Linked DNA regions of Schizosaccharomyces pombe. The protein of the gene in region 4 binds, or shares a complex with, the protein of the main gene of each other region. Each region holds a gene or a part of one and is shown on either strand. Other genes may lie near its edges. The genes, in order: mug178, rsm10, mrp4 and mrp21.

Region 1 (5,693 bases), 2.8 Mb from region 4:
TTTTTTCGTTCCTCAATTTTTATGGCAAGGTAACCAATACATTTCACTGATTTTCGAACAAGTTCGACGTCAATCTCCGAGGCGTACTCGACGAACTCAGGAAGAATTTGATCTAAGTTGTGAATATCAGCAATTTTGGTTAGGATATCCAATTTTTCAAGCTTAACGTAAATTGGGTCATCAAAGTTACAGTAAAAAAAATGTATATCATTTGCAAACATTTCTGGGCATTGTTCCAATATTATCTGAATGTTCCTCAGAATTACATATTGTGTTGCAGATGATTTTCTAGCTAGCAATGTGACAAGAGGAGGTTGGGTCTTCATAAAGTATTCTTTAACTCGATTGTCATCTTTCATGTAATTAGTTAAATAAAGAATAACCTTTACAGCCCCCATGCACACAGCTGCATTGCCGTGTTGTAACCAAGGACTAATACGTTCAGCGAAGCTTTCGGCCTCGCCAGGCTTTTGGGGAACATAAAAAATTAAAGCATCCAAAATGGCAACTTGCAGCCACCTGAATTATTAGTATAAATTTATACAGCGAGGTTAAAAACATACTCCGAACAATCAGTGAGGCTCTTAACAAGTTTATTAGATATTTCCCTACTGAATGTGAGTTTAAATCCAGTAGATGAATTTACGATATTCATTAAAGCGGCTAAAGAGTTGGCAACAACCTGATATAAAAAAATTAGTAAGGTAATAGAATCGTATAACTTACAACCGAAGATTCATCACTAAGCATTTCTTTCAAATGATCGATTAATCCTGATGACTCCACCATTTTTTTATCATAGGAGTACAATTTTGCAATCCCAATGGCTGCAGTTTTTCGAACGTAAGGATCTGTATCATCTAATAACCTTACAATTGGATCCATAGCAGCAACCCAAAAGTTTTTGATGTTTACCGATGTCAATGTTCTTAAAGCTAAGGACCTAATCATAGGGTTGGAAGAATAAATGTCCTAAAAGAGGTTAACATCCATCATCATAAGAGATGTACAAATTAGAAAATTACATTCAAAATAAGTTTAACAGCTCTCTTCGCCTCTGTGGGTTTCACGCTGTCAATTAGTAAAAAATAAAGAAACTTTTACAAACCTCGCGTAAATTTTCAAGTACAAATAGCATAGTTTTTTTAATTCTAGATTATTAGATTCCATAGAAGATATCACCGATGGAAACAGTGAACTCATATCATATCCATAAGATATGCCTGCAATTGCTTTCTTTAAAGCAGAAATTCGTTTGTTTGCAGATTTGTCCTTATTATCTGAGCTGAAGACTGCTAGCAAATCAGCAGCGGTAGACTTTTGTTTAAGTTAGTAATTCCGAATTTTATGAAAGTTAAATTACCGAAAAATGACTTGAACTACTCGACATTATAACAACATGCTATGTACGTGTTAACATTCAAAATGTATTGTGGTATAATACTGAGTGTTATTGTACAAAGCAAAATAACGAGTTACAGTAAAATGCTTGAATAAAAGATTGTACGAAGAAAAGAAAAATAATGATTGCTAATAAAACACGATTTTATCTCTTAGTAGGTACTAGAGTAACTGGGTAATTAAGAAGCAAATTCAAAAGACGTTTACAAAGTTTATCGGATTTACAATTTAATACACTGTCGGGAAGCGTTGATTGATATAAGCTTATTAATTTATTTATGCAAATTTTTTAGCACGTGCGTACATAATATAAACCAAACAGAGTTCAATATAAACGGACACCCTTAGGAACATCGTAGGTTTCCAGTAATGCGATACGGCCATAACGAAAATTACAAGAACCAAAATAAGTTAAAATCACTCAAAAAACAAACAATAAAAATTCAATCTTTTTTAAACAAGAATGGTGGGAATAATAAACAAGCTTGTTGACAATATTATTTCCTAGAAAAAGTAATAGGTGTATAGAATCTCTCCATGAACAAAAAGAGGGAGAAAAAAGCGGTTCACTACAATGCAAAATAACGGTTAAAAATATTTAATGATCTTAAAGGCATATCATGATAGCTCAAGGAGAAAGTAGTCCGTGCAATTAATTTCCCTAACTCAAAAACTCAGGATCGTAAGCAGATGAAATAAATGTTAAATATGGATGGATCTTCATAATAGACGATTATCAACAGACGAAAACAATATTAAGAAACAATTCCTTGAAAGAAAAGCTATTGTTTTAAGAAAACCGAAGTGACTCACGGGAGAAATAATCGTTTTACTGTTTTTTATTGTCAATGTCAACTTGTATTATGGTATTAAATACTCCTATTTTCTCGTGTGATATTTGGAATGGTTTTACCGGTTTCATCGACATTAAGAGATCGAATTACGTATCGATTTTTTGTTGAAGTAATTCCTTTGAGAGAAGTAGCAGCTATAACTCCTGAGACACCAAATAAACATTCTTTAGAGTCGGGTGCAAATTTTCCGTAAGTAAATGGTAACGGGACTTTTTTAGTTTGAATAAAGGATACTAAACTTAGGCGCTTCTTTTCAGAATCAGAAAAAGAATCTAAAAGTTTCAATTTGGCGTATAATATACCTGGTGGAAGTGTAGGTCTGGATTTAGGATTTGAGCTTGAGAAAGTGTTGTATTTCTGTAAAAGGTAAGGGGAAATTTGTTCATAATCATTAAGCGGAACAGGGAGCTTAAGGTCGTAAATTCGTTTCAAGGTGCGTACGAATCTGTCACTGCTGATGAAGGCACACTGATGCTCGAATGTGTCAAACTTTTGTATGGAAATATGACGGTTTTTTAGGATCGGTAACTTCCTCTTAGCTCCCCAATCGCCGCGAAATCTTTGGCATTTCTTCGCAGTAATTGCTTGTAGGATGGGAATCTTCGTATCATAGACATCAGGGGAGTTCCTCGGCAAGTCTGGTCTTGCTAAACTAACTGCTCGGGAGCATCTCAACAAATCAGGAAACTTCATTATAATTTTGATTAAAGATATACTTTGTCAGAAACATCCAAATTCTGCCCAATGTAAACCACCACCGAAAAGTAACTGCTGAACGAAAGTGGGTACTTCTAATGAGTCAATATTGTCAATATCAATAGCAATCACTCAGAAAACACACGAATACGACTGTAATTTTTTGATGCCAGCTATTTATATACTTTTGTCGTGCAATCCAGCTTGCGAAGTGTTTTACATCAAGTGTGCACACTCATGAAAAGTATATACGAGATGAAATTCTCTCTATTAATATACAAAATTATGGCCAATGTTACAATAGCTAGTTTGAAGTTATAGAATCGCTTTCGTTAGGAGGTCATGTCGGCATGTTGTGTAGTAAACGTTCACTCTCCTCAAGTAGCAATGTTACTTGACTCGCACACTGTTGGATAGAGAAACAGAGTGCTTTAATTGTTTACACTCGAGTAAACCATGACTGAGTACGATTTTAGCTTGTACTTATTAAATTTAACGGGAATTTTTTTTATAATTATAAATTAGTAATACTAAAGGTATGGCTATCATAAGAAAAGTGAAACTTATAAAGGTTAACTTTCGGTAAATTTGTGTGTTCTTCCTTGTTCATTAATGAGTTTATCTCTACTAAACTAAACTATATGATTTTTCTAGTCTAAGTTTATTTACTGATAATTAATGAGTTGCTTGTCAGATCGTTTGTTGTTTATATTTGTCTATTATATTTGATCTTGAGATTCTGTATATCATGTAACAGATTTTTAAACTTTTTCTTTGACTATTTGTGTGCTTATTAGCTATCTCAAAGGCTTAGGTATATTATTACTTGTTCAATACATTATGATTTGCAATAATGCAATTGTTCCAGTCACTATTCGAGCTTGAAGAATAAATTATACGAGAATGAATACATTGCTTTAATACAATCGCTATTAAAATGTTTCGGTTCATATTCTACTGTAAGCGTATTATTCAACATAGATTACCTGACTACCAATAAAAATTTTGCTTTAACACACCACCAGAGGACAGGCAGGTTCCCTTACTACCCTACCACTTCTGGGTGTCTTTCTATGAACGTAATGGTTTCGTTTAATCAATTACGAAACTATTTTCTAGAAAGCAACAGCTTACGGCCATCGAAATGGCTTTTTCAGTCGTATGGTACTTCAAGTTCTGCGAATATCCTAAATGGAAAATTATTGGCAAGGTAAGATAAAGTTTATATTCTAAATTTTCTCTATGCAGATGAGCGTGCATTTCTGTGTTTGTCTTTGACGATAAAATTTTGGTGGTTTGAAAATTGATTTGCGTACATTGCTTAATTCCGTATATTCTTCAATTTTTTTGTCGATACTTAGAAGTTAAAAAATTGTATTGGGCATTGCAGCACGTTTGAGGTTTCATCAGATTTTTTTGCTCTTAAAACTTTATATTTTTATTTCTCTTTGAGGTTACTAATGTAGCGACTAATTAGAAAATTACAACGTTCTGTTGCTGAAGAAGTGCAGGCCTTGAAAGCTAAGGATCGAAACTTTAAGCCGGCGCTTGCCATTGTACAGGTTGGAAAACGTGAGGATTCTAACGTGTACGTTCGAATGAAAGAAAAGGCGGCACGATTAGTTGGTATTGATTTTAAATACTGCCCGTTTCCTGAAACAATCCAAATGCCTGCCTTGCTTCATGAATTAAAAAAATTGAATGACGATCATACGGTTCACGGTGTCCTTGTCCAACTTCCTCTTCCCAAGCATCTCAATGAGCGTACAGTTACTGAATCTATCACTCCGCCGAAAGACGTTGATGGATTTGGTGCATTTAACATTGGTTTATTGGCAAAGAATGATGCTACCCCCATTCATTATCCCTGTACCCCGAAAGGTATTATGGAGTTATTAAAAGATAACAAGATTTCAGTCGCTGGATTGAACGCTGTAGTTCTGGGAAGAAGTGACATTGTCGGAAATCCAATTAGCTACTTGTTGAGAAAGGACAATGCTACAGTAACTGTCTGTCATTCTAAAACTAAAGATTTAATTCAGCACATTTCTAATGCTGATTTGGTTATAGCAGCATTAGGCAAACCCGAATTTGTTCGTGGTGAATGGTTGAAACCAGGATCTGTTGTGGTAGATGTTGGCATAAACGCTGTTCAAAGAAATGGAAAACGCGTTTTGGTTGGCGATGTGCATTTCGAATCTGCATCCAAAGTTGCTAGCAGCATTACTCCTGTCCCTGGAGGCGTCGGACCGATGACTGTTGCTATGCTAATGGAAAATATTGTAAACGCTGCCAAGATAGCTAGAACAGAAAACATTTATCGAAAAATTGACTTAAATCCTTTAGAGTTAAAGAAGCCTGTTCCTTCTGATATCGAAATTGCTAATTCCCAAGAACCTAAATTAATTAGCAATCTTGCTAAGGAGATGGGTATCTATGACACAGAGTTAGAAAATTATGGGAACTATAAGGCAAAAGTAAATCTTGCTGTTTATGAACGTTTAAAGCACCGAAAAGATGGGAACTATGTTGTTGTAAGTGGTATTACTCCTACACCTTTTGGCGAAGGTAAAAGTACAGTTGTTGCTGGTTTGGTTCAAGCTATGGGCCATTTGGGTAAGCTTGGAATTGCTTGTGTCCGTCAGCCGTCCCAAGGGCCGACATTTGGTGTTAAAGGAGGCGCCGCTGGTGGAGGCTACGCACAATTTATTCCTATGGATGACTTTAACCTTCATATGACTG
Region 2 (6,789 bases), 3.3 Mb from region 4:
TGTTGTGTGTAAAATCCTTTTTCTGTAGCGATGGCAGTTATTAAATTAGCAGGTGTAACGTCGAAAGCTGGGGAATACACGTCAATCCCAGGAGCAGCAATAGAAATTCGAACACGCTTTGGATCCTCTAGATTTCGGCTGTTAGAGTCTGTGATTATGGGGCCTGTAATCGTGGTCATTTCAATCGGAGGTCGCTGTTCAATGGTAATCTGAGAACCAGACGCTAAACTAGTGTCAATTGAAGAAAAGGGAGCAGCCACTATGAAAGGCTTTCCAAAGTGTTTTGCCAAAATAGCAAGATTATATGTGCCAATCTTGTTTGCAGTATCGCCATTACGAGTAACGCGGTCGGCGCCGACGACAATGGCATCGATTTTGTGCATAATTGAAGCAACCGTGGAATCTGTGACTAGAGTTGCTGGAATTTTATCATGAACCAACTCAAAAGCAGTGAGACGAGAGCCTTGGTTATAAGGGCGAGTTTCTGTACAATAAGCGTGTTCCAAGTTCCCCGATTCGTGTAAACTACGAATGATCCCCAAAGCTGTACCATAACCTGAGGTAGCTAAAGATCCAGTGTTGCAATGGGTCAAAACGGTGAGCTTGTCTTTATCTTTGTAATGCTGCAACAAGAATTTTCGGCCAGCAGTTCCAATATTGTGGTTGTCTTCTAAATCTTTTACTAGCATACGCTCCGCTTCCTGAATAATTTTATTTCGACAATTTTTTCCTTCTTGAAGAGCAATGCCTTGCATAAACTTTGCAGTTTCAAAAAGATTGACAGCGGTAGGACGAGACTGTTTGAGATGCTCAAAGCTATTTATAACATATTCTTTTGCATCTGCATCTTCAGAAAGATGTTTTAATCCGACAGCCACACTCAAAGCTGCTACAATAGCAATAGCTGGGGCCCCACGAACTTGCATTTTTTTTATGACAGCGAATGCGTCTTCTACATTACTAACTGAAATGTATTTACGCTCGTACGGAAGAAGTAATTGGTCTAATACAAGAAGCTTGTCCTCATTATAAATGATTGCTTGCAACGACATTCTGCCCAAATTTTTGAATATCTCTGCCTTTGAAAACTTTTACTTCACTAGCGCACGAACGCACATGCATCAGATAAAATTAAAGGATTTGATGAAGCTCGTAGCGATGCATTAATAGAAATAATGAATTAATATAAAGTTACACTGTGTAGTTTACTTAGGAACAAAAAATAGTACATTAAGTTTAATATAAATTTATAAGAAGAGTTAACGCAGTCTTTCGTACTTTTGACACTGCTTATAGATAGATAAAATTAGCAACCCTAACTTAATATTGTGCTTCTTATTTATCCGCACTATTTGATATGCATCTAACATTTTGAACGCGTAAACAAAAAATTTAGACTCATTCAAAGATGTAAGTTCCATCGTCAAATTATATTACCAAGTTATTTTGATAATGAGTATGGTGCCTTGAATTATAGATTAAAAAATGTATCACCGAATTTATTTTTAATAATGAGTCGATCTGACATATTAGAATCAAGGAATAATAATATGCATTGATGTTTTATGAAGGAATTACAGCTGTAGAACCTATGTATACAAACTTCAAACTTTTAAAGATGAGAACGATATATTTTTTTCGTTTTCCAGAAAAGCCATGCTTGAAGTATTTATCAAGATGTTCGGTAGTGTCAATTTAATAATCATATGTGCGACTTTGACTTTGACATGCAGCAAGAAGTTGTTGACACCAACCTATCTGCTTGAAAAGTGATACTCGTTTGCAATACTTAAATATATATATATATATATCAGTGATCGCAAGTCAGTTTTGAATGCAGGATTGGTAAACAAGGGTCGCAAGTTAATATATTTATATAGCTGTCTGCTGTAACAGTTTAACATACAACCTTGAAACTGTAAAACATTGAATATTTTTCATTGTTAAAGCCAATTTAAATGAGAACGATTATTGTGTTACGAGGTAAGCATTTAATTCCAAAATCCCTATGTATTCTTGTAGTATAAAGTAATTTGAATGACAAATCAGTAGATTCTTCCATAATTGCAAGTAGGATGCCAGTCCCAAACCTTTAATTCCTAGCTCAAAAGCACAATTGTTCAGTTCACACTTTTGTTAACTTCCGGAATTTGTTATTGTAAAATAATTGTCTCCTCATAATTTTAAAAAATTACATCTCATTGCTGACTGAGAACTCTCATCATACTGGTCAATTTTAAATTGTGCTGAAAGCCTTATAATCACAAATATTCATGTTTAATCGAATTTTTTTGGTTTTCTTCACTATGGTGCATCAATAATATTTTTAGTACAGTACAATCACACCCACCTTTGAATTCTAAACTTTGACCTTCAAATGCAAATAAAAAATTTATAGTTAGATCGTTCCATCATAGTATAAATTACAGAATGATATTGCTTTTTTAAAATAAATGTTACCATCTACGTGTTTTTCAAGGTATTCACGCGCGAACGACATTTAAAATGATTTCGCTCCGCTTGTTTATGTTCAATTAAAACATTGATTAATAACCCCTTAGTCCTACGATAATTGTGTTAAACTGAATATGATGGTGGATGACAAGTGTAGCTCGACCATTACTCCCCACTCCAACCAAAAAATTTTGTTAAAAAAAAACACCTTTACAGTGTTTAATTGTTGGAATTTTGTTCTTGTGGTTTTCTTAACAAGTATTTTAAGTAACCGGCTAAAATATTAATCATGAAACGGTATATGTTTGGTACATTACCTCGCGTGCAACCGAAACGTTGTTTCCAGACAGCTATTGGCAAAGAATCACCGTATGTATTCAATCCTTTCCTCTAATTTAAGCTATAATTTTGTACATTCTAACCCCAATTTATTAGCAAAGGGAACAGCGAAAAGGATCAACTTTTTGAGAATCCATTTTTTCAACAGCTTCCTTCCAACGTTGCAGCTGTATATTTGAACCCTGTTAAATTCAATCCTTCTGAAAACGACGTACTTTGTGCTTCTCTAAAAATTAAAAGCTTTGAAACTCCAAAACTTGATACGTTTACCGACTTCATTTGTCGAACAGCGTATTACATGAAAATTCCAATCAAGGGTCCACGTCCATTACCCAACAAAGTAGAAAGCTGGACTTTACTCCGATCACCTTTTATTCACAAATCTTCTCAGGAGAATTTTGAACGTATTACGCACTCTCGACTTATACAACTGTACAGTGTCAATCCAGTTACTTTAGAAACGTTTTTTAGTTATTTACGAAAATGCAACATGTGGGATTTAAAATTGCAAGCAAAAGCTTATGAATACGAATCCATCGATGATGCCCTTAAAAACTTCGAGTCACAGTCTAAGTCTACTGATAATTTCAAAGAATTGTTAAACGGTCCTTCGAAAAAAGATATAATCACACAAAATGCCGAAAAATTGCTCAGAAACGACCCCATTTACAAAGATTTGTTAAAAAATTCATCTCGAAAATAAAAATTAACTAATGTGTTTTCAATTACTCTGATGTTGGACCGTTTATTAGCAAAAATACTCTGACTGTATTCGTACTTTTTTTTTTAACAATATGACACTAGCTTTTCTTCATTAAAAGTGTTCTTTAACTAAAAACGTTACGAATAGTCCACACTTGTTTCGTTAGTTTTCCTCACCAGTAATTTTTGAAGTTTCTTGGGGATTGCTTTTCGAAAGAACAAAACCCGCAAGTGCCTTAGGTCCTTCAGATTTTTCCATTTCAAGCTGTTCCATTGGATCCATTGGTGCTGCTGCACTTTCAATTTTAGCTGCTCTCTTCGCTATATGAAGGGAATCAGTGCTAAACTTAGTTTGTACAGACCGTTTAATACGAAGCATTTCTTTAACTGTTTCTTCTGGATTTCCGTACCTTATTTCAAATTCTTGCCATGCTTTCCAATAATCCGTTTCAACTCTTGGATCACAGTATTGACTTCCATGAATATATATTAAACGAGCACGATCGATTTCACCAAGTTTCGTCTCCATTTCAGCAAACCTTAAGCACATATCTTTGACTTCTGAGTCACTCAGGGATTCAATAGCCTTCTCATAAACTGTCCTTGTCGCCAGTACACCATAATTTAATGCCACTTTAACGAGTAACACATTGTAAATAGCAAGACGGTCTGCTGTTTTAACCTTGTCGGCCGCTTTTTCTAAAATAGAAATGGATCTTTTTGCTTTGCCAAACTTTTCTTCGAAATCGGCATACAGAAGATAAATACTTTTCGAAAATTCGGGCGGACATCCTTCTAATGCTTGTTCAAATAAATCCCTGGTCCTTTCCATATGCGTTCCTTGATATCGTTTAACAAATTTTGTTAAATATAAATTCCAAAGTTCAAAAGCCACGGGATAACTAAATAACGCAACACCTCTCTCATAAATTTTAAATGAATCTTCAAAATAAGCATTCTCCTCTAAGAGATTTGCATAATTGACAACCACCTGGGGAGTAGCAATTTTTAGTTCAAAGACGCGGTCGTACAATTTGCGTGTAGTTTCAATCGTACCAACGCTTTCCTCAAGATCAAGATAATACATCCATATCTTAGATGACTTGTGTAGCCGTACTTGTGGACTGAGTGATTCATCAAAAAAGCTGATATGACTTTTTCTAGGAGCATGAACGGCATCTCCTATTAATTTTCTCGCAGCGTCAAAATTTTGATGTCGAAGTTCCATCTCGGCCCAGTCAATCCAAACTTGTGCTAACTCATTGACTGTTTTATATGGTACATGAGTAGCCTTTTCAAAAATTATCCTTGATTGTTCTAAATCATCAAAATTTTCATAAAAACGAGCAAACTCTGAAAACAATTTGCCGAGGGAGCCATGCGCCAGCTTTGGATTTACATTTTTTATAGCGTCTGTGTAAACTTGAACAACTTTTTCGCTGTCGTCTTCTAAAAACTTGACTCGGCGAAGCCATTCGTCAACGTTATTTATATTTTGCCTTAATAATACATCATTGATATAAAGCGGACGTTTGTCAAGTATTTTCTCGAGCCAGGCCATATGAAAATCGATACTTAATTCGTCATTTGCATTTCCGCTGCTTGCTTCAACTCGTGCAGATAGCCATTGCTCTTCGAATTCAACAAAAGCATCGAATATAATTGTAAAATTTCTTACAGTCATTATGTTATTCATCCCTTCATAGAATGTGCTTCTTGCCTGTACGATAAGTTAGTTTTTGCAATAAGGGGTCAATAAACAAACCAGTTAAACATACCTTCTCGTAGTCACCAATGCGTATATAATATTGTGCCAAATAAGTCCATAGTTTCCCTGCTTGATCAGAAAACCTTTTAATGCCAGCTCTAAAAACCTTTTCTACGTCTATGTTTTGCGTATGGTCAGGATGCTGAACAACTAACTCGGAAAACTCGAGCCATATCTGATAATTGCTCTTCCTTTTTGCTGATAAAAACACGGGCCGATTTAAAATATCCTCATATTGTCGAGCAGCTTCATTCCACAGCCCTAATTTACAAAGTATCTCAATGTAGTTTTCAATTGCTCTTGGTTCTACTTGTATATATCTGCGGTAGACATGGATGCAAAATAATCCTCCAATATCTTCAGCATATTTCGTAAACATGTCCCAAATATCATCGTGCTGAGTTACCGGTAAGGCGCGAAGTGCAGAGTTAAATGTACAACGAATCTTAGTGACATTTGGTTGTTTCATCAAAAATTGTAAATATAGTTTCCAAATAACAGGCATTTTATGCAATAAAATCAAAGAGCGCTCAAAACAATCGTTTACAGAAGCAAAAGCTTCGGCATGAAAATATGGGTTCAAATGTTCAACATGCGCTACACGTAGTTCCAAATAGCTTTTCCATATTTTATAGCTTCCCGGGAGTTCTGAACAAGCTCTTTCAAATAAAAGCACACGCTTTTCCAAAGTAGATCCTTCATGGGTCTTTATATATCGTAACCAACTTTTCAGAGAATATGGATCACGTAGCAATTCAAGCTCAAACGGCTCGTCATCAACATTAATTAGATCAAAATTAACTTTCAGTGGAATAACATCTCCCATTTCTAATCCTTTTGATTGTTTTCTAAAGAAGCCCGATGTAGGCTGTTGTCGTGCATACAATAGACCTTGGGCAAGTGAAAAATATGAAGTTCAATTTTAACCCCATAAGATGAAACTTAATTGAGAAAGCACATTGCTTATAAGATATAAAACAAATAAATTACAGAATTAAAAGACTGTCTATATGCCCACCTCTAGGGAATTAAGCCAAAGTATGTTGATAAATCAGAGCTACAAAATACAGCCCTTCGATTTCTATTTCATTTGTTGTAAATCACTATCCATAACGACCTTCTGCTATTTAACTACCCTTATCAGTAAACCTCTTCTGTACTTCGAATTTATTCATTGATTGCTATATTCAAATTATATTTATACGAAACGCAAAATCGCTTCACCTGGTAGATATAAAGCTAATAGTGGTGCTAATGTGACTTTTGGTCATAAAAATTAACGAGTATTCAAACTAGTTATCACTAATTAGGAGCGGCAAAAACACTAATTGTACATATAATCAGCTTACAAAAATCACATCGAAATGCCTAAATCCTTGACTAATTGTTTGCAATATATACTATAAACAAAGAAACAATCAATACTAAGACAAACTCCAAATTAATACACGAACATATATATTTGATTTATCTATTTCAAAACACAAGCAAATGCAGTAAGCCTATTAACACAATCAGATAATAGA
Region 3 (4,724 bases), on a different chromosome or scaffold from region 4:
TGCAATGTACAACATTTTAACGCTACCAAACCATAAAACGGGTTATACAATTTCTCATTACCAACGCAATGCAAAATTACATAAGCTATTTCAGGTAATTGATTCCTTTTGAGATGCAACTTCAGCACTCTTTCCCATGCATCAATGTAGTCCTAAGTTTGTTAGTTTAAAGTTAATGAAATTTAGAACGAATACCTCTGAACCAACAAGGGCAACGAATATCGAAGTTCGAAGAGTTGAATTCAATCTTAACTTCTTAGCAGCTTGTAAAATTTTTGAATGGGCCGTCAGTTCTTCTGATTTTTTCTTATCCTGTAATGCTTCAGTAGATAATGTGTTGTCACCAGATGGAACATTATTCCAAGAAGCTCCAACAAGCCACCATCGACCTTTCGTCTCAATCTGCTCAATATCTTCTAAAGTAACTCGTAAAGGCTCTCTAGCATTTAATGAGCGGTTGCCTAACGAACCCAAAAATTTCTTTAGCTGATTTACAGCTTCAAATTTAGATTGGGCGCTAGCATTGGCAACTTTTGTTTTTTTGTTTTCTTTAAGATTAGTGATCGATTCTACCATAAACTTTGTACGGACAGATATGGTTGATGGATCAGCTGAAGCTAATAACAAATTCATTTCCGTAACAATATCTTGGAGAGACGTCGGGTCATCTGATCGCAACTGCCCTCCACAATTGAGGACAATTTTGAGCAGCATTTCAACGTTCAATTCGGTTAAAGAGCGTAAAAAAAGGCGAATCAAATCATAAACAAGAACACATGAAACAAGTTGAAAATTATACAACTCAACAAAAAATACAATCAAGTTAGAAGTCTCCTTATGGGAAGAAAGAGGTTCTTTCTCTTTTGATTTATAAAGCTGCAAAAAACGTTCCACTAGGGTTTGCAATAGATGAGCACCAAAGTCATTGCCTACAATGCGGTAAAGAGCAGTGGCTAACGCAGCATATACTATGGCCAATTGATCTAGCATAGATTCTCTTCCCATTACGGTTTGTAGTAGCAAATTGGTGATGGTAGACGTGACTGAGTGTCTTGAATTTTCCATGTAAAGGACTTCAATCTCCTTAATAATTGAAGAAATATTTGCGATAGACAATTTGTTTAGCGATCCTTGTAATTTCCGACGAAGTCGCAGAGCATCTTCTGACTCCTTATCTCCCCCTAATTTTTTCCGTAAAGATGGAGGGACATACTTTGAGCCGACGTTCGCATTAGGTAAGGATGGGACTGCAGGCTTCAAAGGATCCATCCGAATCGGCTTAGTTTCAGGTTGATGGAATTCATCAGAATTAGACTCAAACCCATGAAACTCTTCCTCCTCCTCACCCGAATTTCCTTCCCTTTCACTTTCCAACTCATCAACGCTACCATGGTCACCTGTATCGTCTGAAACTTCAGAGTCTTCTGAATGACCATATGAAGGATCTTCAGTGCCCGGAACGCCTATGTCATCAATTTCTTGATCTAGGTCTTCTAAAAGCCATCCAAATTCCTTGTCAATTTTTGAGTGAGCAGATTTATCTTTGCTTTTGATGCCAAGCATCTTTTCTAAATGAGCGATTTCACGATCATCCTCTTCCAAAGCAATCTTATGCTGAAAAGCAATGGGATCGAGTAATTTACTCTCCTTTGCCTGTTTATTCTGTGAAGATTTTTTTTTTGTAGATGACTTTCTGTGAGCATCTAAGTAATCATCATTAAGTTCAGAAGACTTACTATCACCTTCTTCTGTAATCTTCCGGTTTTCATAACCATTTTTTCCTCGAGAGATCCTAGCAAATTTTCTTTTTTCACGATGAGGTAGATTATGATTTCGCTTTCCCCGCCTAGCACTCGAATCTATCAATTTGGTTAAATATACTGACCAAATCTATAAAAAAAAGCTTACCAGATTCTCCTATCTCTTCTAAAATACTTTTGGGCAGTTTTAAGCTTCTGCTTTTTTTAATTGGCCTCATACTATCGAATGTTTAAATATTAAACAAACGATAATTAATACTAAAGCTCAAGAACTACCAAATTTTTCAATTAAACGATACCAAAAACTGGTATAATTGCTTTACAAAGAGAAGAATTGGGCCTCAGTCTCGAGTTGGCGTATCGTTTCAAATGAATTTCACAACACTGCTAATGGAACTGTATACAATATCGCAATTTGTTAATGCTATTTAAAGTTGTCACTCTGCTGCTGTATTTTACATTAACGCTCTATGTAGTATCACACTAATAAAGCATATCGAAGTGGAAATGTTGCAATCGTGCAGCGATTTCAAAGTCTTAAAGTACTACTACACCAAACGGGCTTTCATTTTGCTCGAGTCATTCGTGTCTGTATTATGCTTTCACGGAAATTATCACCGGAGCAACTTGTAGCTCGTCGTTTAAAAATACGTGACTGGAATCACAAAATAGGTGCAGTTGTAGCTCCCCATTATTCACCGACATTATCCATTCGAAATCCGGCACCTCCTAGTCAACTTAGTCTTCCTTTATTGTTGTCTTCTGGTGCTCATTTAGGACACTCTACATCCATATGGAATCCTTACACGCAGCCCTTTATATATGGTAAAAGAGAAGGTATTCACATAATATCATTGGATCAAACCATGGTTTACCTACGAAGAGCTATATCCGTCGTTAGATCAATAGCTAAAGAAAATGGAATTATATTGTTCATTGGCACCAGAAACGGCCAGAAAGATTCTGTCGTTGCTGCTGCCAAACGTGCTAGAGGTTATCACATATTTGATCGTTGGCTACCAGGACTTCTCACCAATGCCAGAGAAGTACAAGGAAAGCTTGGCGGTTCAATTTTATGTAAAGATAATAGAGGGAAATTGATTCAAACTGATAAAAAACCAAGTTATGTCTTTCCTGATTTGATGGTTATACTAAACCCATTAGAAAACAAAAGTGCTTGTCTAGAGGCACAGAAAACTCATGTTCCAACAATTGGAATCATTGATACTGATGCGGATCCAAGGATGGTTACCTATCCTATTCCAGCAAATGATGATTCTTTACGGTGTACAGATTTAATAGCTGGTTTACTGAGTAGGGTAGCTGAGCAAGAGTACCAAAAAGCTAACCAAGCCTTCGAAAAAGATAAATTTACACTTCCTTTATGATTCCCCTCTCATTGTTTTGAAAATGCCTGTATTCTTTGATTTTTCTAAACATGATTAAAGATAAGGTCTGATTAATTTTCACTAGTATTCAATAAAATTAATGATTCGTAAACGAAAGGTTAAAAAGAAAGAATAAATTATTATGGATAACGTATATATCACATTTCAATGATTTGATGCCAAAATTTTTGTTAAAGACAGACATATTTTGCTGTGCGAAAGGAAATCATCGGTATGCTTTCACATTTTCTATAAACTCTTTTTTCAATTGTTGAATAGTCATCTTTCTAGTATCCCTTGAATTATGATTGTGTCTACTAGATACACTGAGAATTTCTTTGTCAACTTCGTCTTCTCCAATGACAATTTCATAATTATAATTTAAAAGTCTTGATTCACGTAGCCGTTTGCCAATAGATTGTGCTTCAGCGTTTATGTCCACATAATAGGTATTTTTATTGAGTGGGAGAAATTCAGATTCATTGACTTCCTGATTAGACAATTCCTTTTGTACTTGCTTAGCATAAGTTAGAATTCGATCTGTTTGATTGACTGGTAAAATGACAGCATGTCTAGGACTTAGCCAAAATGGCCAGTGTCCATTTAAATGCTCGATAAGGATTCCCATAAAGCGCTCTAAGGATCCAAATATAGCACGATGAATCATTACAGGTTGTTTAATGAGTTTCTCAGACCCGGCATTGTCTCCCGCATCTGTGCGATAATATAATTTAAATCGTTGAGGTAAATTAAAATCTAATTGAATAGTTGCCGTTTGATGCCACTTTCCACGAGCATCTGCAACCATTACATCGATCTTAGGACCGTAAAAAGCACCATCTCCTTCATTGATGATCCACGTTTCACCACTTTCTTGTAAAGCCTCTCGCAACCCGTTTTCTGCTTCATTCCATGTATCTAAAGAACCGATATGCTCTTCAGGTCGGGTGCTAAGGTATAGTTTTAGTTTGTTCATTCCCAATAAAGAATAAACTTGCTTCACAAAAGTGAGAGTATTTTTTATCTCGTCTTTTATGCTCTCGGGTGAACAAAAGATATGACCATCATCTTGATGAAAGCATCTTAATCTAGTTAGTCCAGAAAGTGCGCCTGATGCTTCATTCCTATGTAATGGACTGAAATCTGCAAACCGCAAGGGTAATTCTTTGTAAGAACGTTCAGTACTAGCATATACAATACAATGTCCGGGACAATTCATAGGCTTTAATCCATAAGTGGCATTGGAATGCTCATCCTCGACATTACGGCTTTCTTCAACACGAAATATTTCTTTCTCGTAGTTTTGCCAATGACCACTTTTTTCCCATAAGTCCTTTTTAAAAATTAAAGGCGTTATAATCTCTTCAAACCCATGTATTTGATATTGAGCTCGTAGAAAATCAACTAAACGATTATATATACGCGTTCCGTGGGGTAAAAAAAATATTGAACCGGGAGTCAGTATACTTGTAGTATACAATTTTTGGCGAGCTGCTATAGTACGGTGATCATTCAAAGTTGATTCGGGTTGCTTGAGGTTATTAGCTTTTGTAGAAAAAGGCGTTGGCCCGAATCG
Region 4 (4,763 bases):
TAAGTGAACGAAGTCTTTTCGTCTTCTCGGCATCATTTTCTTCCATAGCAGGCTTTGGTTTTTGAGGGTTGGGAGAATAGCCTTGCGGTTCTTCGTCTTCTTCTTCCAAAAGCAGTCTCTCCGGAAGTCCAAATTCTCGTCTTTCAGAAGGAACAGCTGGTTTCTTGGTTTGTATTTTGATTTTGAAGGGACCATTTTCATGTTGAGGCATTTCACTAGTCACCAGCTTACCATTTTCGACATAATTCTCTGTCTCAACGGTTGCACCTTCTCCACGGGTACGTAGTTCTCTTTCTTCCTCCTTTCTGTCAAGAGCATCTGCGTCTTCTTCTCGAGCACGAGCAACTGCACGATGTCTAATCCAAGCAGCACGATCGACAAAATATTCGTCTCGAGATACGCGAGCTTCCTCATCGTCATCAAAAGAAGCTAATTTTTCCGAAAGATAAGTACCAAAGGAAGTGTTATTAACACGTTCTTCTTCTTCACGAGCAGCTTCTCGTTCTAAAGCTGCAGTTCGGGCCTTTTCACGATTCATCCAGCGCCGTTCCCTTGCGTAATACTCTTCAGCCTCCAATTGATCCTTCCTTCTCTTCTCTTCATAATAAGCTTGTTCATCGGAGAACGACTCGGGAATGCTATCTTCTGCTCTTAAAAAGGCATTGACTGTAGACATAGGGATACGTGAAATACGATGTTTTGACAAAAGGTTTTGTAAATCATCATTTTGCTTTCGAAGCTTTTCTTGTTCTTTTCGTGTATACTCTTTATATAAACTGGCATACTCGTCCTTAGACCTTTGTTTTTCTCGTTTTTTCATAGCAGATTGATCGCGAAAGGATCGTATTTCTTCTTCAATAACCGGTAATAATTCAGGATTAATTCCTTCTAAATCAGCAGCATTAATGGGAATTTCCGAAGTTTTGACATTTTGTAGTAATTTTTCGTTTTTCTCTCGGGCCTGTCGAGCTGCCCTTTCAATGCGAGAACGGACATCAAAATTGCCTATATCTTGACAAATTCTTTCGAGGTTAAAGCGAATTTGCTGTAAAATGTTTATCTCTTTCTGCTTATTTCTTGCATAACGACTCGTTTGCCATTCACGATACAATCCCTCATTCTCAACATCTGTAATCAATGACAAGCGAGTTGAAGGACCACCTTCGTACAAAGGTGGAACAACAAAATCATTTAATGCTTCTAATGCTCTACTGAATTGTTCATTTGATTCAAACTCTGCAAATCCAAACGAAGTCATCGAGTTATCTGCATCAGCAACCCTTCGCCAAGAAGCCAGCTTCCCGGACAATCGAAGAATTTTATCCATCCAAAAATCATCCAATTCTTTCGGTATATTACCAATAAAGAGCATCCGCCGCATTTGTTGACTATTTGGAGGGACAAACGGCCGCGATTCCCTTTCTGTTGTAGACTTCTCTGAAGAAGGTGTTTGAAACGTCTGTTTCTCCTGAATCTCATTACTTTTTTGATTTCGGGGTAAGTTTTTTCTATCTTTTTGTTGCGATTCATTATCTCTTAAAACTTGTTTTATGGGAAGTTTACCAAACTTCAGAATTGGCTGCGAAAAATCATAGGGACTACTTGCCTCAACAGGATTATCTACCAAAAAAGCGCCTTGGCCATACAATTTTTTGTATAAGCTCCTGTAATCAGGAGGTAAAGGGGCGAATACAGGTTGGATTGGGACGACATATGGAACGCCGTTGCCAACCATAGGAACCTGTGGCATCATTGGCATACCGGCAGCCTCTAAATAAAATTAGATAAATTCTTTAGCAATGAAATTGAAATTACTTACGCGTATTCTGCCGCTGCATAGTTGTTGGAGGAAAACAGATTCATGTGTATCATGTAAAGGTATATAGTGAAGTGTAAATGTGATTATCCTATTTTTAGTTTATGAATTTTATGTCTTTTACGCTAATGCAAAAAATCGATGTTCAAGGCAATTTAACGAATTCTTTATGCAGTTGTACTGCGGTGAGATTCAGGCTTCTCAAATTGCCAAGAAAACGCAAAATAACTATTTAAAATGAACAGTTCTTATTTCCCAGGTGTTCTAGGGGTCAGATGGGTACATACAAATAGGAAATTGCAAAAGAGAAAAGGTACGAAGAAAATCCATTGAAGTTGCTATTGTCTTTCAAGAATATGATTTTCGATTGTTGGATTATTGTCTGCTAATACTTTATTGATATTTAGAGGAGCATGGTGCGTTCCAAGATTCGCTTCATTTTATGATACCCGCAGCAGAAACAAAAGATTTAGGTGCAAGTGTGACAGTTGGAAATAGTCTAACAAGAGCATTTCGACAAGTTGATAGAATATGTCAAAGGAATAATGTGCCAAGGCTATTCCGTTCACAGAGATTTTATGAAAAACCATCCGAAAAGCGATCCCGCGTTCGTTCAGAAAGACACAGGGCAAGGTTCCGCGCTGGAATTGTTCGACTTGTAAACTTAGCAAAGAACATGCGTCGTTGGGGTTATTGAGTGATTCTTCGAACATTTCATTCTATTTCTTGGTTACGAAAATCCATATTAAATTAATGTATTTGGAGATCGTTGTTCTCATAGCTTTTCATTTAAGACGAGAATGCTCGAAAACCCCCTTTTGAAGTAAAATAATATATTGCTTTTTACTTCTCCGCGGATTTAAGAGCTAGACATTTTTGGGAAATATTCGTTTTTTGTTTTGTCATTTCTAAATTTTTCCTGGTATCTTTGCTTAACCCCTCCCCTATCTTATGATTTTCTACTTAACAGGATTTATTGTCTAATAACTGTCTCTACCTTCTTTTATCTTTTCAGTTTGACAATACTGCGAGATTGAGCTTAATGTTTGCATTACCCTCTAATATTACTATTCTGTTTTGCTAGCCTATAACAATTTTCTTAGTTAAATCGATGAGTTTGTTACTCTATTTATTCAAACTAATGCTGGTCGCAGGAAGTTATTACTTCTGCATGTTATAATAAATGAATTCGTTTCCTTTCGTATTGCAAATGATTTTTTTATTATTGGCCATGTAGCAGCAATTTGATGGTTGTATCCCTTTATCTTATTATAATCGTCATGAGTAAACCGACTCTCAACGTGTAACAACCAAATATGCTTACCGCTGAATTTTCATTAATCTTGGATTTGAGCAATGAAATGATAACCATCCATTTTACATTTCTGTCAACGGAAATTAAAATAATACCGAAAATATCCATTTACAGAATCATTTTTTGCTTAATTACCAGATGACTATAAGTCCCATTATTGTGCACTGCATACCATAAAGTAATTTATCACTTCCTTAATAGATTTCTGATTATTTACTCTTTCATCCAGCTAGAACTAATTACGCATATTGGCCATAGCTCACAATATACGATGGAGCGCTACCACTATTCATTAGTGCATTCAAACACGGCATCCTTAATTACAAAACTCAGTATACATTCATTAGCGTTCGCTTATTCATTAGATCGAGCGTAGATCATCTGAATTTTAACCAATGGTAGATTAAAGGGGACTTCTGTTGATGTTTGTAACGACTCAACACTCAAACGCACTTCACCAGAACAAAACACTTCTTGCCTTGTTTAGGGCATCCTTCTTTTCCAAGAAGCGTCCTGGCATCTATCCAATTTTTGCCAAAAACCCCTAGTATTCCCAGTCAATTGTGGTAGTGGTTTCACGCTTAAATTTTCGCAATGTTTGGTCGCCTCTTGCTGTTAGGGATTTTATTCCATGTCGTCTTTCTCAAATCCATTTTTGATATCTATTTCGTAACTCCTCTAATACATGGCATGAAGCAGTATTCTGCAGGCGAAGCTCCTGCTAAACGCCTATTTCTAATTGTTGGTAAGTAAACATTTGTAATAGTGAAATTAGTGTATAGAGCTTAATGAAAAAAATGTCATATTTTCGTTTTGGATTTAGAAAAAAAAACAAGAAATAGTACAACTTTTTTCTTGTCCTTCTTTTTCTTATTTTACTAACCAATATGCTTATAGGCGATGGACTACGTCCTGATAAACTATTACAACCACATTCCGAAAAGGTCATTGGAGAAGAGCAGACATATGCCGCTCCATTTTTAAGATCAATTATTCAGAATAACGGTACTTTCGGTGTTTCTCATACTCGTGTTCCCACCGAGTCACGCCCCGGACATGTTGCTCTAATAGCTGGTTTTTACGAAGATGTTTCAGCCGTCACAAAAGGCTGGAAAAAAAATCCAGTAAATTTCGATTCTGTGTTTAATCAGAGTCGGCATACTTATTCGTTTGGATCCGAAGATATTTTGCCTATGTTTAGTGAAGGTGCATCTGATCCATCTCGAGTTGATACATTCATGTATTCTTCTGAATTGGAGGATTTCTCTAGCAACGGAATTGTTCTTGACGAATGGGTTTTTGATAGGCTAGATGAACTTCTCGCTCAGTCTTTAGAGGATAAGGAACTTTGGGATATGTTGCATCGGGATAAAATAGTATTCTTCCTTCATTTACTGGGCATTGACACAATTGGCCATAATAAACACCCTGACTCAGTTGAATATGTCGAAAACATACAGTATATAGATGGAAAAATTCAAGAACTCGTTGATAAGATGAACAACTACTACAATAACGACGGAGCCTCTAGCTGGGTTTTTACAGCAGACCATGGTATGAGTGACTTTGGAAGTCATGGTGATGGCAACCTTGATAATACACGTACTCCCATCATTGCCTGGGGTGCTGGTA

Evidence for each region.
Region 1: mrp21 (region 4) and mug178 share a complex: the UniProt entries of both Schizosaccharomyces pombe proteins name them as parts of the mitochondrial small ribosomal subunit.
Region 2: mrp21 (region 4) and rsm10 share a complex: the UniProt entries of both Schizosaccharomyces pombe proteins name them as parts of the mitochondrial small ribosomal subunit.
Region 3: mrp21 (region 4) and mrp4 share a complex: the UniProt entries of both Schizosaccharomyces pombe proteins name them as parts of the mitochondrial small ribosomal subunit.

Annotation. Positions count from the first base shown.
Region 1 is NC_003423.3:3,444,943-3,450,635, forward strand, and holds mug178 (mitochondrial 37S ribosomal protein bS1m), read right to left. Parts: upstream 3,283-5,693; 5' UTR 2,949-3,282; coding exon 2,271-2,948; 3' UTR 1,574-2,270; downstream 1-1,573. Other genes in the region: AP-2 adaptor complex subunit Apl1, read right to left, coding at 1-519, 564-682, 727-972, 1,026-1,071, 1,109-1,317, 1,364-1,390; ade9 (trifunctional formate-tetrahydrofolate ligase/methenyltetrahydrofolate cyclohydrolase/methylenetetrahydrofolate dehydrogenase), read left to right, coding at 4,025-4,161, 4,429-5,693. UniProt on the Schizosaccharomyces pombe protein: Component of the mitochondrial ribosome (mitoribosome), a dedicated translation machinery responsible for the synthesis of mitochondrial genome-encoded proteins, including at least some of the essential transmembrane subunits of the mitochondrial respiratory chain.
Region 2 is NC_003423.3:3,867,550-3,874,338, forward strand, and holds rsm10 (mitochondrial 37S ribosomal protein uS10m), read left to right. Parts: upstream 1-2,618; 5' UTR 2,619-2,743; coding exon 2,744-2,823; intron 2,824-2,889; coding exon 2,890-3,496; 3' UTR 3,497-3,658; coding exon of another isoform or gene 3,659-5,215; 3' UTR 5,216-5,271; downstream 5,272-6,789. Other genes in the region: mri1 (methylthioribose-1-phosphate isomerase), read right to left, coding at 1-1,052; protein Cwf3, read right to left, coding at 3,659-5,215, 5,274-6,089. UniProt on the Schizosaccharomyces pombe protein: Component of the mitochondrial ribosome (mitoribosome), a dedicated translation machinery responsible for the synthesis of mitochondrial genome-encoded proteins, including at least some of the essential transmembrane subunits of the mitochondrial respiratory chain.
Region 3 is NC_003424.3:3,063,842-3,068,565, reverse strand, and holds mrp4 (mitochondrial 37S ribosomal protein uS2m), read left to right. Parts: upstream 1-2,299; 5' UTR 2,300-2,356; coding exon 2,357-3,148; 3' UTR 3,149-3,240; downstream 3,241-4,724. Other genes in the region: sgd1 (ribosome small subunit biogenesis protein), read right to left, coding at 1-152, 196-1,859, 1,909-1,978; SPOM_SPAC24C9.09 (threonine--tRNA (Thr) ligase), read right to left, coding at 3,375-4,724. UniProt on the Schizosaccharomyces pombe protein: Component of the mitochondrial ribosome (mitoribosome), a dedicated translation machinery responsible for the synthesis of mitochondrial genome-encoded proteins, including at least some of the essential transmembrane subunits of the mitochondrial respiratory chain.
Region 4 is NC_003423.3:615,429-620,191, reverse strand, and holds mrp21 (mitochondrial 37S ribosomal protein bS21m), read left to right. Parts: upstream 1-2,018; 5' UTR 2,019-2,053; coding exon 2,054-2,129; intron 2,130-2,223; coding exon 2,224-2,513; 3' UTR 2,514-3,001; downstream 3,002-4,763. Other genes in the region: U1 snRNP-associated protein Usp107, read right to left, coding at 1-1,770, 1,820-1,838; its8 (pig-N family GPI synthesis protein), read left to right, coding at 3,726-3,876, 4,029-4,763. UniProt on the Schizosaccharomyces pombe protein: Component of the mitochondrial ribosome (mitoribosome), a dedicated translation machinery responsible for the synthesis of mitochondrial genome-encoded proteins, including at least some of the essential transmembrane subunits of the mitochondrial respiratory chain.